3 linked regions of the Macaca mulatta genome follow. The protein of the gene in region 2 purifies or fractionates together with the protein of the main gene of each other region. This does not show direct contact. Links are inferred from orthologs where the notes say so. Each region holds a gene or a part of one and is shown on either strand. Other genes may lie near its edges.

Region 1 (3,649 bases), on a different chromosome or scaffold from region 2:
CATCTGTTCCGTAGCGGAAGTGAAACGTGTAGGAGACACACTTTTGGGTATGGCCACACAATGTGTTCAAGTCAAGAATGTAATAAAAACATCTCCTCAAACTCTCTCAAACTTGTGCCTAAAGATAAATGTTAAACTCGGAGGAATCAATAATATTCTTGTACCTCATCAAAGGTAAGATATGCTAATCACTTATGAAAATATTATTTTTTATATCTTCATTTGTCTACATATGACCATATCTAACTACTATAAGAGCTGTGTAAGAGACCCCCTTAATAATTCCTACCGTGGGAGATTCATAGGCATTTTGGTAAAAAATTAAAATAATCTGGATTGGCAAGGGTCAGAGATTCTCTTGTGAAAATGTCCCCCACAATTTTGTTTTATTTTTTATTTATTTATTTTTTTGAGACAGAGTCTTGCTCAGTCACCCAGGCTGGAGTGCAGTGGCGCGATCTCAGCTCACTGCAAGCTCCACCTCCCGGGTTCCCACCATTCTCCTGCCTCAGCCTCCCAAGTAGCTGGGACTACAGGCACCTGCCACCACGCCTGGCTAATTTTTTGCATTTTTAGTAGAGACGGGGTTTCACCATGTTAGCCAGGATGGTCTCGATCTCCTGACCTCATGATCCACCCACCTCGGCCTCCCAAAGTGCTGGGATTACAGGCGTGAGCCACCGCGCCCGGCCCTTTGTTTTATGTTTTAAGCAAAGAATGAAGCAACAAAAGCAGAGATTTATTGAAAATGAAAGTACACTCCACAGGGTGGGAGCAGGCTCGAGCCCCAGCAATTTTCATTTAGTATGCAAAGTACCTCTTACCTAGCCAGAAAGTATCCAGAGATTGATTTCTCACTGGAGAGCCCAGCTTGAAGAATTTTCACTTTATTTGGTAATCATCTTCAATCTGGTTTCATGAGGCTGCTCACTTACCTGGAATGTGAAGGACAGAAGGACCTGGGGGCCCAGATTAGTCAATTAAGTAAGCCATATCAGCCCTCCTGCTGTAGTCAGTGAGAAAGCATATTACTGTTCGATCACCCTTCTTCGAGCTAGAACTCTTAGGAAGTGTGAGACACCACGACCTAGAAACAGAAGGTAGCTTATTGTGCAAGTCTCTGAGGAAGAGGCCACTTTTCAGAGAATTGAACAAGTTCCCTTTTAATAGTTGAAGCAATTAGGCCTCCAAAAAGTTAACTACCCACCACAAATAAACATTAGAATAAGGATTGGACCATGTTTTTTCCTCTTTTTCCATGCCACCTCTACTTTCTACCCCTGTTCAATATGAGATGAGATCCATAAATGAGATAAATAAAGAATTTTATCAACAAGTCCAACATGGTGAAACTTCATCTCTACAAAAAATAGAAAGATTAGCCATGTGTGGTGGCACGTGCCTGTCGTTCCAGCTACTCCAGAGGCTGTGGTGGGAGGATTGCCTGAGCCCGGGGAAGTCAAGGCTGCAGTGAACCGTGATTACACCACTGCACTCCAGCCTGGGCAACACAGTGAGACCCTGTCTCAAAAAAACAACAATAACATAAAGTAAAATAAAAGGAAATGCTAGCTACTTTATGACCATTGAATATATGTTACTCAAATTTATACTTTCGGCCAGGGCGTGGGAGTAGTAGATTCCCAAAACCCCTTCCAGTCTAAAGTGTAATGATTCCTTTTTCCCTTGAGAGATTACACAGGTTTAAAATATAAGTTGATTTTTAAACAGTGATAAAAATTTGTGGATCATAAGGAAGTTTATAATTTTGTGCCCATGTTGGAGAATACTAGCATCTGTTAATATGAATATAGCCCTTTTCAACCACCAGCATCACTATTTTAGACAAAATTCTGCTGTGAGTAAGACTTTGGATTACATAGGACTTCCTCTGTGCTGTCAATAACTTGAAGTTATGTTGCAATTGTGTGAAACAGATAAATGAATAATGAAAAAATGAAATATCTAACCCTTTTTCAAAATGTGTTGAAGACCTTCTGTGTTCCAGCAACCAGTGATCTTTTTGGGAGCCGACGTCACTCATCCACCTGCTGGTGATGGAAAGAAGCCTTCTATTGCTGCTGTGAGTGTTCGCCAGGTTTATCTTACCTGACGTTGACAGACCAGTATCAATTTTGCAGTTTCCAATTTTTGACTTTTAATATTTTCTTTGTAGCCAACTTTCATAAGTGTTCTTTGGGTTTTTGAAAAGAGTGATTATTCTCTGGTTTGGGGTTTACAAGTTCCATATGTAACTATTAAATCAAGTTTGCTAGTTATATCATTCAAATCTTCTGTATTATACTTTAATTTGTCTACTTGACCTCTCCATGATTATGCATTTTTAGTTACTTTTTGTTGTTTTGAATAGTTTGTATATTTCAGTAATGTCTTTGTCATAGAAAGATGCATTACATATAAGCCTGGTGGATTACATTTTTTAACATATAAAATGTCTTCTACCTTCATCCAGTTCAATACTTTGCACCTGAATTCTTTTATTTTATTTTACTTTATTTTATTTCTTTTTTTCAGACAGAGTTATCCTGTTGCCCAGGCTGGAGTGCAGTGACACAATCTCGGCTCACTGCAACCTCCGTGTCCCAGGTTCAATCGATTCTCCTGCCTCAGCCTCCCGAGTAGCTGGGAGTAGAGGCACCTGCCACCATGCCCAGCTAATTTTTCTTATTTTTTAGTAGAGACGGAGCTTCACCATGTTGGCCAGGCTTGTCTTGAATTCCTGATCTCAGTCAGTCCACCCGCCTCTGCCTCCCAAATTGCTTAGATTACAGGCGGTGAGCTACCACGCCTGGCCAAATTCTTTATTTTACTATTGCTGCTCCTGCTTTTAGCATCTGCCTATTTTTAATTTGCTCTCTAGTTGTAACCTTTTTGTGTCAGTTTAAGTGTGTTTCTTATAAACTTGAGAAAGCCTGATAATATTTTACCCATTTTGAAAATCACTTGATTTTAACAAATAACCAACATTTTGAAAATATGAACATATTTTAGGCTTATTTAATAAACTTCAGAAATTAAACTGTAAGATTTAATTGGCCAGGCGCGGTGGCTCATGCCTATAATCCCGACACTTTGGGAGGCTGAGGCGGGTGGATCACTTGAGGTCAGGAGTTTGAGACCAGCCTGACCAACATGGTGAAACCACATCTCTGTGAAAAATACGAAATTAGCCTGACGTGGTGGCAGGTGCCTTAAAGGTACCTACCTGGGTGACAGAGGGAGACCCCGTCTCAAAAAAAAAGATTTAATATTTTTTCTATGATCCATTGTAATCTTCACATAAATCGTACGTTTTAGGAATCTGATAAATACAATTCATCCCTGAAAATGATAGTAATATTTAAATTTTCACTTCAAGGTTTCAAAGCTATTTTTATTAGTATAAAGGAAATTAATTTTTATCTATTCTCTTGCTTTGTTTTTTTTTGTTTTTTGTTTTTTTTTTTTTTTTTTGAGACAGAGTCTTGCTCTGTTGCCTAGGCTGGAGTGCAGTGGCGCAATCTCTGCTCACTGCAAGCTCTGCCTCCCGGGTTCACACCATTCTCCTGCCTCAGCCTCCTGAGTAGCTGAGACTTCAGGCGCCCGCCACCACGCCCAGCTAATTTTTCGTATTATTTTAGTAGAGACA
Region 2 (3,649 bases):
TTGGGAGGAAAGTGGTTGAGGTGTGTTCCCATTTTATAATGACTTTATCATTTACAATCCATTCTGTCTCTGATGTGGTGGGAAAGTGCCCTGAGGAACTTTTGCAAGGAATCTTACATGATACGTGATACCTACCAAATTTCTTCGGTTGAAACAGTGCTGTGAATGTTTTAAAGTGAGTCAAACTGAAGTTCAGCACTCAGTCCTTTAGGTCACTCTGTCTTGTCTTGTTTTTCTGGATTGAGTTAAAAGTATGTAGTAGACCTGGTTAACTTATAATGAAGATTCTAGACCTTTTATAGAAGGGCAGCCTTACAGAAACATAGCTCTTTCTGTCCTAAAAACCAGTTTGGATGAATTTCTCCAGTCTCTGCCAACTTCTTGTTTATTCTCATAATAAGATAAAAGGGGATTGCGAATGCCCTATGCTATAGAATCCGCCAATAACAGATAGAAAATTAATATTAAATAATCTTCATTCATTCATTTACCAGTTACGTATCCATCTATTATAGGTCATGAATATTAGATAATGACTAATTTTATTTTCTTTCTTTCTTTTTTTTTTTTTTTTTTGAGACGGAGTCTTGCTCTGTGGCCCAGAATGGAGTGCAGTGACAGGATCTCGGCTCACTGCAAGCCCCGCCTCCCAGGTTCAAGCAATTCTCCTCAGCCTCCTGAGTAGCTGGGACTATAGGCACACGCCACCACACCCAGCTAACTTTTGTATTTTTAGTAGAGGCGAGGTTTCACGATGTTGGCCAGGATGGTCTCGAACTCCTGACCTTGTGATCCACCTGCCTTGACCTCCCAAAGTGCTGGGATTACAGGTGTGAGCCACCGCGCCCAGCCGACTAGTTTTGTTTTCTTAAGTCACACATTTATTATGCTTATCAGATTTTGGATCCTGTGACCTCCACTCCCCCTCCCCTTACTGGGATGCCTGGTGCTGCCTTGTGATTGGCTGAAGTTAGACATGGGGTCGCCTGGAAGTTGCTGCAGGCACTTCCTGTCACCCACAGTGTGTTAATGTGCGGTAGTGGCATAGATTGGGCCGCCTGATTTCTGATGATGCTGTATCTCTCTCATAAAGGAGCCAGTTCAACAAGCGACATGCTGGCCCAGCATCATTTTAGCAGTCAAAGCAGCGTTACCCGCAGAGCTGGCCCTGACGTTACCCTGGGAGGCAGGGACTTGGGCCTCAGAATCATCTGAACTATCAGGCTTGATGATTATTTCTGTACGACTTCCAGCCTCTATTTGCCAGGCAGAGTTTATGGAGAGGGTAGTGATCTTTTGGCAGCATGTAGTGAGGGAGGTGCAGATCTCAGAGAGCCTTCTCTGTAGGTTCAAGGGGAGAGCCAGAGGATCTGGCAGAGTGCAGCTTCATGGTTGCCCCGACATTCCCACACTGTATGCGGGCCATTTTTAAAATTGAGGTCAAAAAATCGAATTATTTAAAGTAAATAGAAAAAGTATTTACATTTAACAAAAGCAAAAAGATTTGTAACATTTCTAGTATTTACACAGAGAGCGGTGCAAGTCTTTGAGTCCAGGTAGCTGTAGAAACCAAAACCAAGCTGAGTTTGTGATTTTCCAGACCTGGAGTTTCTTGTAAGAGTCTACTCTGTGCCATGCCCTAAGGAAAAAAGAAAAGATGAAAGATAGGTCCTTGCCCTCAGGAAGTCATGGCCTGGTGAGGGAGAAGGACTTGTAAGTGGAGAATTTCCGTGGCAGAGAGAGATGGGACTTATAAATGGAGAATTTCTGTGGTAGAGATAGATGGACTTTTGAATGGAGAATTTTCATGGTAGAGAGAGCGGGATGATGTGTTCCAGGAACACTTAGGAAGAATGTTTAGCTCACCTAGGCCGGGGACTTCAAGGAAGGTTACTCAGGGGTAGATCTTTTAAGAATGTGGATGAGGGCCGGGCGCGGTGGCTCACGCCTGTAATCCCAGCACTTTGGGAGGCCGAGGCGGGCGGATCACGAGGTCAGGAGATCGAGACCATCCTGGCGAACACGGTGAAACCCCATCTCTAAAGAAAATTAGCTGGGTGTCGTGGCAGGCGCCTGTAGTCCCAGCCTCTTGGGAGGCTGAGGCAGGAGAATGTTGTGAACCCGGGAGGCGGCAGAGCTTGCAGTGAGCCAAGATCATGCCACTGCACTCCAACCTGGGTGACAGAACGAGACTCTGTCTCAAAAAAAAAAAAAAAAGAATGTGGATGAAAGGAAGGGACCCTTGGACTGAGGCTTGAACCCTTTCCCAAGGACTTTGCCATGGACATTTAACTCTTCTAGGCAGCACTCCAGGGCATTAATTCCACTGTTGATTTAGGGGAGTGAATGATGATCGCTTCCATCTCCCCCTTAATTGATGGAATGTATTCCATGATCTTGCTGTGTTTAAATTCATGTCACTATTAGCCGCCACCTTCATCCTGCCTTCAGTAAACTGTGAAGAGATGGTGGAGAATTTGGAATAACTATGTCCCTTGAGAGTAGAGTGAAAGGAGAAGTTACTTTGTTAGAATTGGTACCATGTAAGCTTTCTTACAAATAATCTTAGCCAGGGTCTAGGTGTGGTGGCTCACAGCTGTAATCCCAGCACTTTGGGAGGCCGAGGTGGGTAAATAGCTTGAGTTCAGGAGTTTGAGACCAGCCTAGGTAGGCAACATGGCGAAACCCTGTCTCTAGAAGAGGAAAAAAAAATTAGTTGGCATGGTGGTGTATGCCTATAGTCGCAGCTACGTAGGAGGCTGAGGTGGGAGGATCACTTGAGCCCTGGAGGTGGAAGTTGCATCAAGTCAAGATCACCGCACTCCAGCCCGAGTTATACAGCAAGACCCCATCTAAAAAAAAAAATAAAAAATAGGCTGGGCGCAGTGGCTCATGCCTGTAATCCCAATACAAGACCAAGGCAGGCGGATCACGAGGTCAGGAGTTTGAGACCAGCCTGGCCAACATAGTGAAACCTCGTCTCTACTAAAAATACAAAAAATTAGCTGGTTGTGATGGCAGGCGCCTGTAATCCGAGCTACTTGGGAGGCTGAGGCAGGAGAATCGCTTGAACCCGGGAGGCAGAGGTTGCAGTGAGCGGAGGTTGCACCACTGCACTCTGGCCTAGGCGACAATGTGAGACTCCATCTCAAAAAAATAATAATAAAATAATAAAAAATAATCTTGGCCAGGCGCAGTGCCTCACTCTTGTAATCCTAGCACTTTGGAAAGCCAAGGTGGGAGAATCCCTTGAGCCCAAGTTCGAGACCAGCGTGGGCAACATGGCAAGACTCCATCTCTCAATAAAATAATAAAATTATTTAAAGTTTTAGAAAAAATGTATTTGATGTATTTCAAAGACTGTTTCCCAACCCCTCTCTTTTAGTGCCCGAAGTGACGAAACCAAGTTTAAGCCAACCAACGGCCGCCAGCCCAATTGGCAGCTCTCCATCGCCACCAGTCAATGGTGGCAACAATGCCAAAAGGGTGGCAGTGCCGAACGGACAACCGCCAAGCGCCGCCCGCTACATGCCTCGGGAGGTGCCGCCGCGATTCCGTTGCCAGCAGGACCACAAAGTGTTACTAAAACGTGGGCAGCCCCCTCCACCGTCCTGCATGCTCCTTGGGGGTGGGGCAGGGCCTCCTCCCT
Region 3 (4,313 bases), on a different chromosome or scaffold from region 2:
TTAGAAGTCCAAACTCTGGTCTTTATTCCACCATTTGGCCTTTTGAAACCCTAATGAAGTCACTTTATCCTCTCTGAACCTCACTTTTCTCATCTGTAAAATGGAATAGCTACCTGCCTTGCCTACCTCCCAGAGGATTAAATGACCTAATAGTTATAAAGGCACTTTACAAACTGTAAAGTACTGCAAACAACATATTACCATAATAAGTGGTAATCTAATTAATTATATTTCTGAGTATTGGCAGAAACTGAAACGGGTTGCGGGGAGGCGGTGGTGGGGGGCAGACAGAATAAGACTAGACTAAGGTTTCAGGGACTGTTCAAGTGAGGAGGGCACAAAGCACTAGATCCAGGTGTGCTCTGCCAGAGAAGCAGGGATGATTCTCCAGGTTCTAAAACAGCCTGGATGAATCATCCCACAGGACGATCAACTCCCTTTGCTCTGATTCTATGCTTAGCAGGCAGCTACTTATTAGTTGGGTTTCCAAGGTACTGCAGCACCAAAAAAGGAGTTTGCTAGAGAGCAGACAGGAAAATATTCCACTCAACAGAAAAGATCTATGTGACATTTTGGCTTATTCATTAGTGTCTTATAAATATAGTTAGTGAGAATTAATTTTCCACAATCTGAACAATCCTGAGTGAACCACTAAATCCTCAAACCTGCAAAAGCTAAAATCAAACAAACAAACAAAAAAAAGAGTCCCTGGGCAGTGCCTAACATCACCAGGTTGATCCTTTCCATGAAATTCAGTTTATGCCCACAGTTACACAGTTTCTTTTGATATCAGCTCATAAATGCAACAGTTGTTTCAATTATGAATTACTAGGGGGAGGGAAGAAACATTTGTTGAGCATCTATAGGCACTAGTCTCTATAGTGAGACTTCTCATATACTCTCATTTCATTCTCTCAACAATCTTACAGAACATAATTATTATTACCCTCAATTTAGAGATGAGAAAATGAAAGTTCAAAGGAATTAAGTAATTTGCCCAGGGTCATACAACTCTTACATTACTATATTGAATTTGAACAGAAGTCTGTTACATTCCTAAAGACCTGATCATGTCTTTAGCCAGGGGACATATCTGAAGTTAACCTGGCATAATACACTGAAGTTTATCAAATAATATTAATGCGGCAAGCCAATTTATTTTTAAAAGGCATATGAAATTTGATTATGAGGGCCTTTAAACAATACTTGAAGAAGCAAATTAGGGTGGAGTTTAATCACTTAGCTATGCAAACAAGTGCTAAGTAAACAAACCTGCCAAGTTTCCAAACTCAAATGGCAACTCAAATTGTCTACGCATTAAAAAGACGAAACACTCTACGACTAAGATCATTATGTAGGTAAGATTTGAATATTAAAGTTAATTCCACCACAGCCCCTAAACCCTGCGCTACTTAGCCAAGGCATTAGAAACCTGTTGGGCTTTGAGGTGGAAGCACCAGGCCCCAATACTCAGGGCACTCATTACAGCCTGGAATGGTTCCTATGGTTTGGATAGAGAGAAATAACCAGAGGCCATCCATATCCACAACAAATTACAGTTTCCAAAGCACTTTCTCCTTCATTTGATCCTCACAACCACTCATAACCCAATTAGAAGAGAACTCAGGGCACTGAAGCCTGTGCTGGAGCAGACTGGCTGGCAACTCCCGTGTCACTCAAAGGCTGGCCCGGACCACTCTGTGACTAACACACAGACTGAGTAACAGATAGAGGCACAGAACCATGTTCTTCGGGACATCAGGGCCTTTCAGAAAGGATGGGCATTTTGTCTCTTGACCTTCAGAGATCATGAGAGGTGTTTGGATGAAGTTCTTCTTCCTCATCTGAAGGCTCTGGACCGTCTGCCAATGCAAAGAAAAACAGGGGCGCGGCCCCAAACCAGGACTACCGGCTACTAGCTGGCAGCGGGGCCCTTTTCCCGGTCTGGGCCAGGCCTCCGCGCGCACTGGGCAGCGGATCGCCCCTTCTGAGGCCCAAACTACCCTCGCCGCGATCCCGGGCACAAATCATCTCCCCGAAGTGGGGCCAGGAGTGGCCTCCGCCCGGCGGAGCGGGTCACCTTCCCGAACCTCCCCCTCGGACCTCAGGATCCACCCAACGGCCGTCTGGGGCGCGGTCACCGCCCCCCAGGCCCGGGTCAGCTCCCTCTGCTTCGTGCTGCGGCGCTCGGGTCCCCTTCCCCGAGGCCTGGCGGCCCAAACCCGGCTGGGCGACGGGGCAGCCAAAGTCCCGGCCGCCCGCCCCGGGCCCCGGGTCCCGGGTCCCGCCCCTACCCGAGCTCGCTCCTCACCGGGTCCCAGCGCCTCCATGGCGGCGGCGGGGGCCGCCTCGCCCCGGTCCCCGGCGCCTCCCGCTCCGGGCCCCGCCGCCGCCGCCGCCGCCGCCGCGTAACGCTTGATCTCCGGAATATTGGCGCTGGGGTGGCGCCGCGGAGACGCGGGCGCTGGGTAGGGGGCGGCGGCGGCGCCCGGCCCGGGGACAGGGACCCGGCTCCGGCTCTTCCGGCCTCAGCGACAACAAAAACAATCCCCGCCGCCGCCGCCGCCGCCAACGGGAGCGGGAGCGGGAGCCAGCGCGCGCGCCCGCCGGGAGGGGAGGGGGCGCGGGGTGCGCGGGCCCGGGGTCCCGGCGGGCGGAGGGGGCGTGCGCGGGCCCAGGTGCGGGGGTCCACCGAGCCCGGCGGGGGGCGAGGCGGGTCGGCGGGACGGGCGCGCGCCCGGAGGGGGCAGTGCCCGGTGGACGTGTCGGGCACGCGCCCGCTGGCCCGCTCTGCCCCGTCTGCCCGAGGACGCCGTCCCGTGGCCAACGGCTCTGGGGGCTACGTGCCATCCCCCCAGGGCGTCCTGCAAAAGATCTGGATTCCAGTTCCGCCGACCCACAGATTCAGTTTTCCACTTCTGTGAGTGGAAAGTGTGCTGAGATTCACAGGAGCCACCTCGCCTCCCTCTTCCCTCCTCCCACCCCAGATCGCTTCTGTCATCCTGTCTTTTAGGGTCACCTTAGAGGCAGCAGTCCTCCTTCATCCCTTCATCCAGCACCACACACCCAACGGCGCGTCCCTCTCCGTATAGCCGGAAGGCACCACGGGAATGGACTCTGATGAATGATGCATTCCCTCCCCGGTCCCATGACAAGCGCCTCTGGTCAGCAAATCACCAGTCACTTTAGAAGAGAAAGGTCTTGGCCGGGCGTGGTGGCTCACGCCTGTAATCCCAGCACTTTGGGAGGCCAAGGCGGGTGGATCACCTGAAGTCAGGAGTTTGAGACCAGCCTGGCCAACATGGCGGAACCCAGTCTCTACTAAAAACACAAAAAATTAGCCGGGCGTGGTGGCGGGCGCCTATAATCCCAGCTACCTGGGAGGCTGAGGCAGCAGAATCGCTTGAACCTGCGATGCAGAGGTTCCAGTGAGCCGAGATGGGACCATTGCATTCCAGCCTGGGCGACAGAGTGAGACTCCATCTCAAAAAAAAAAAAAAAAAAAGAAAAAGAAAAAAGAAAGAGAAAGGTCTTGCTTTCTTGGATGCTTTCCCCTTAGCAGACAAGAGCCAAGGGAGCAGCACCACCTCCAAGGCAGCATGGTCAGCCCAGCAGGCCCGGCATCTTCAGGGCTTTCAGTAAGGACTTTGAGTGGGACAACATTGGGCAACAGGCCAAGAAGCAGTTTCTAGTCAGCAGAGTGAAGGAGCCCCTTGTCCACCAGTTGAAAAGCTATGATGAGTGTGTGTGTGTTGTATTCTTTGCTGGGGCATAACATAGCAAAGTACCACAGACTAGGTGGCTTAAACAACAGAAATTTATTTTCTCACAATTCTGGAGGCTGAGAATCCCAGATACGGTATAGGCAGGGTTGGTTCCTTCTGAGGCCTATCTACTTCACTTGGTAGATGGTGGCCTTCTCCCAGTGACTTCACATGGACTTCCCTCTGTGCGTGTCTGTGTCCAAATTTCTTCTTCTTATAAGGACAGCAGTCATATTAGAGTAGGACTCACTCTAATGACCTCATTTTAACTCAGTTACCTCTTCAGAGACCCTGTTTCCAAATACAGTTACATCCTGGGGTGCTAGAGTTAGGACTTCGATATACAAATTATTGGGGTGGGGGACAATTTAGCCCCTAGCTTGTGTGGTAGAATATTCATTTGAGCACCTACCATGTGCAGTCATAGAGCCAGCTAGTTTTTTTTAATGTAATGATAAAAAAATGTTAGCATCACACCCTGGTCATGCACTCTGCTATGGGCTTCTCATGTCACTCAATCTTTACAACCACCAGTAAGGTAGATATTGT

The links.
Region 1: the proteins of TNRC6B (region 2) and AGO3 purify together in Homo sapiens (affinity purification with mass spectrometry; 6 studies listed by BioGRID and IntAct, with this or other methods). This does not show direct contact. The link is inferred for Macaca mulatta from reciprocal best matches to the Homo sapiens genes TNRC6B and AGO3.
Region 3: the proteins of TNRC6B (region 2) and AGO4 purify together in Homo sapiens (co-immunoprecipitation; 3 studies listed by BioGRID and IntAct, with this or other methods). This does not show direct contact. The link is inferred for Macaca mulatta from reciprocal best matches to the Homo sapiens genes TNRC6B and AGO4.

Annotation. Positions count from the first base shown.
Region 1 is NC_133406.1:204,774,303-204,777,951, reverse strand, and holds part of AGO3 (protein argonaute-3), read left to right. Parts: intron 1-14; coding exon 15-174; intron 175-1,992; coding exon 1,993-2,083; intron 2,084-3,649.
Region 2 is NC_133415.1:11,266,923-11,270,571, reverse strand, and holds part of TNRC6B (trinucleotide repeat-containing gene 6B protein), read left to right. Parts: intron 1-3,385; coding exon 3,386-3,649.
Region 3 is NC_133406.1:205,006,268-205,010,580, forward strand, and holds the start of AGO4 (protein argonaute-4), read right to left. Parts: upstream 2,938-4,313; 5' UTR 2,851-2,937; coding exon 2,312-2,850; intron 1-2,311.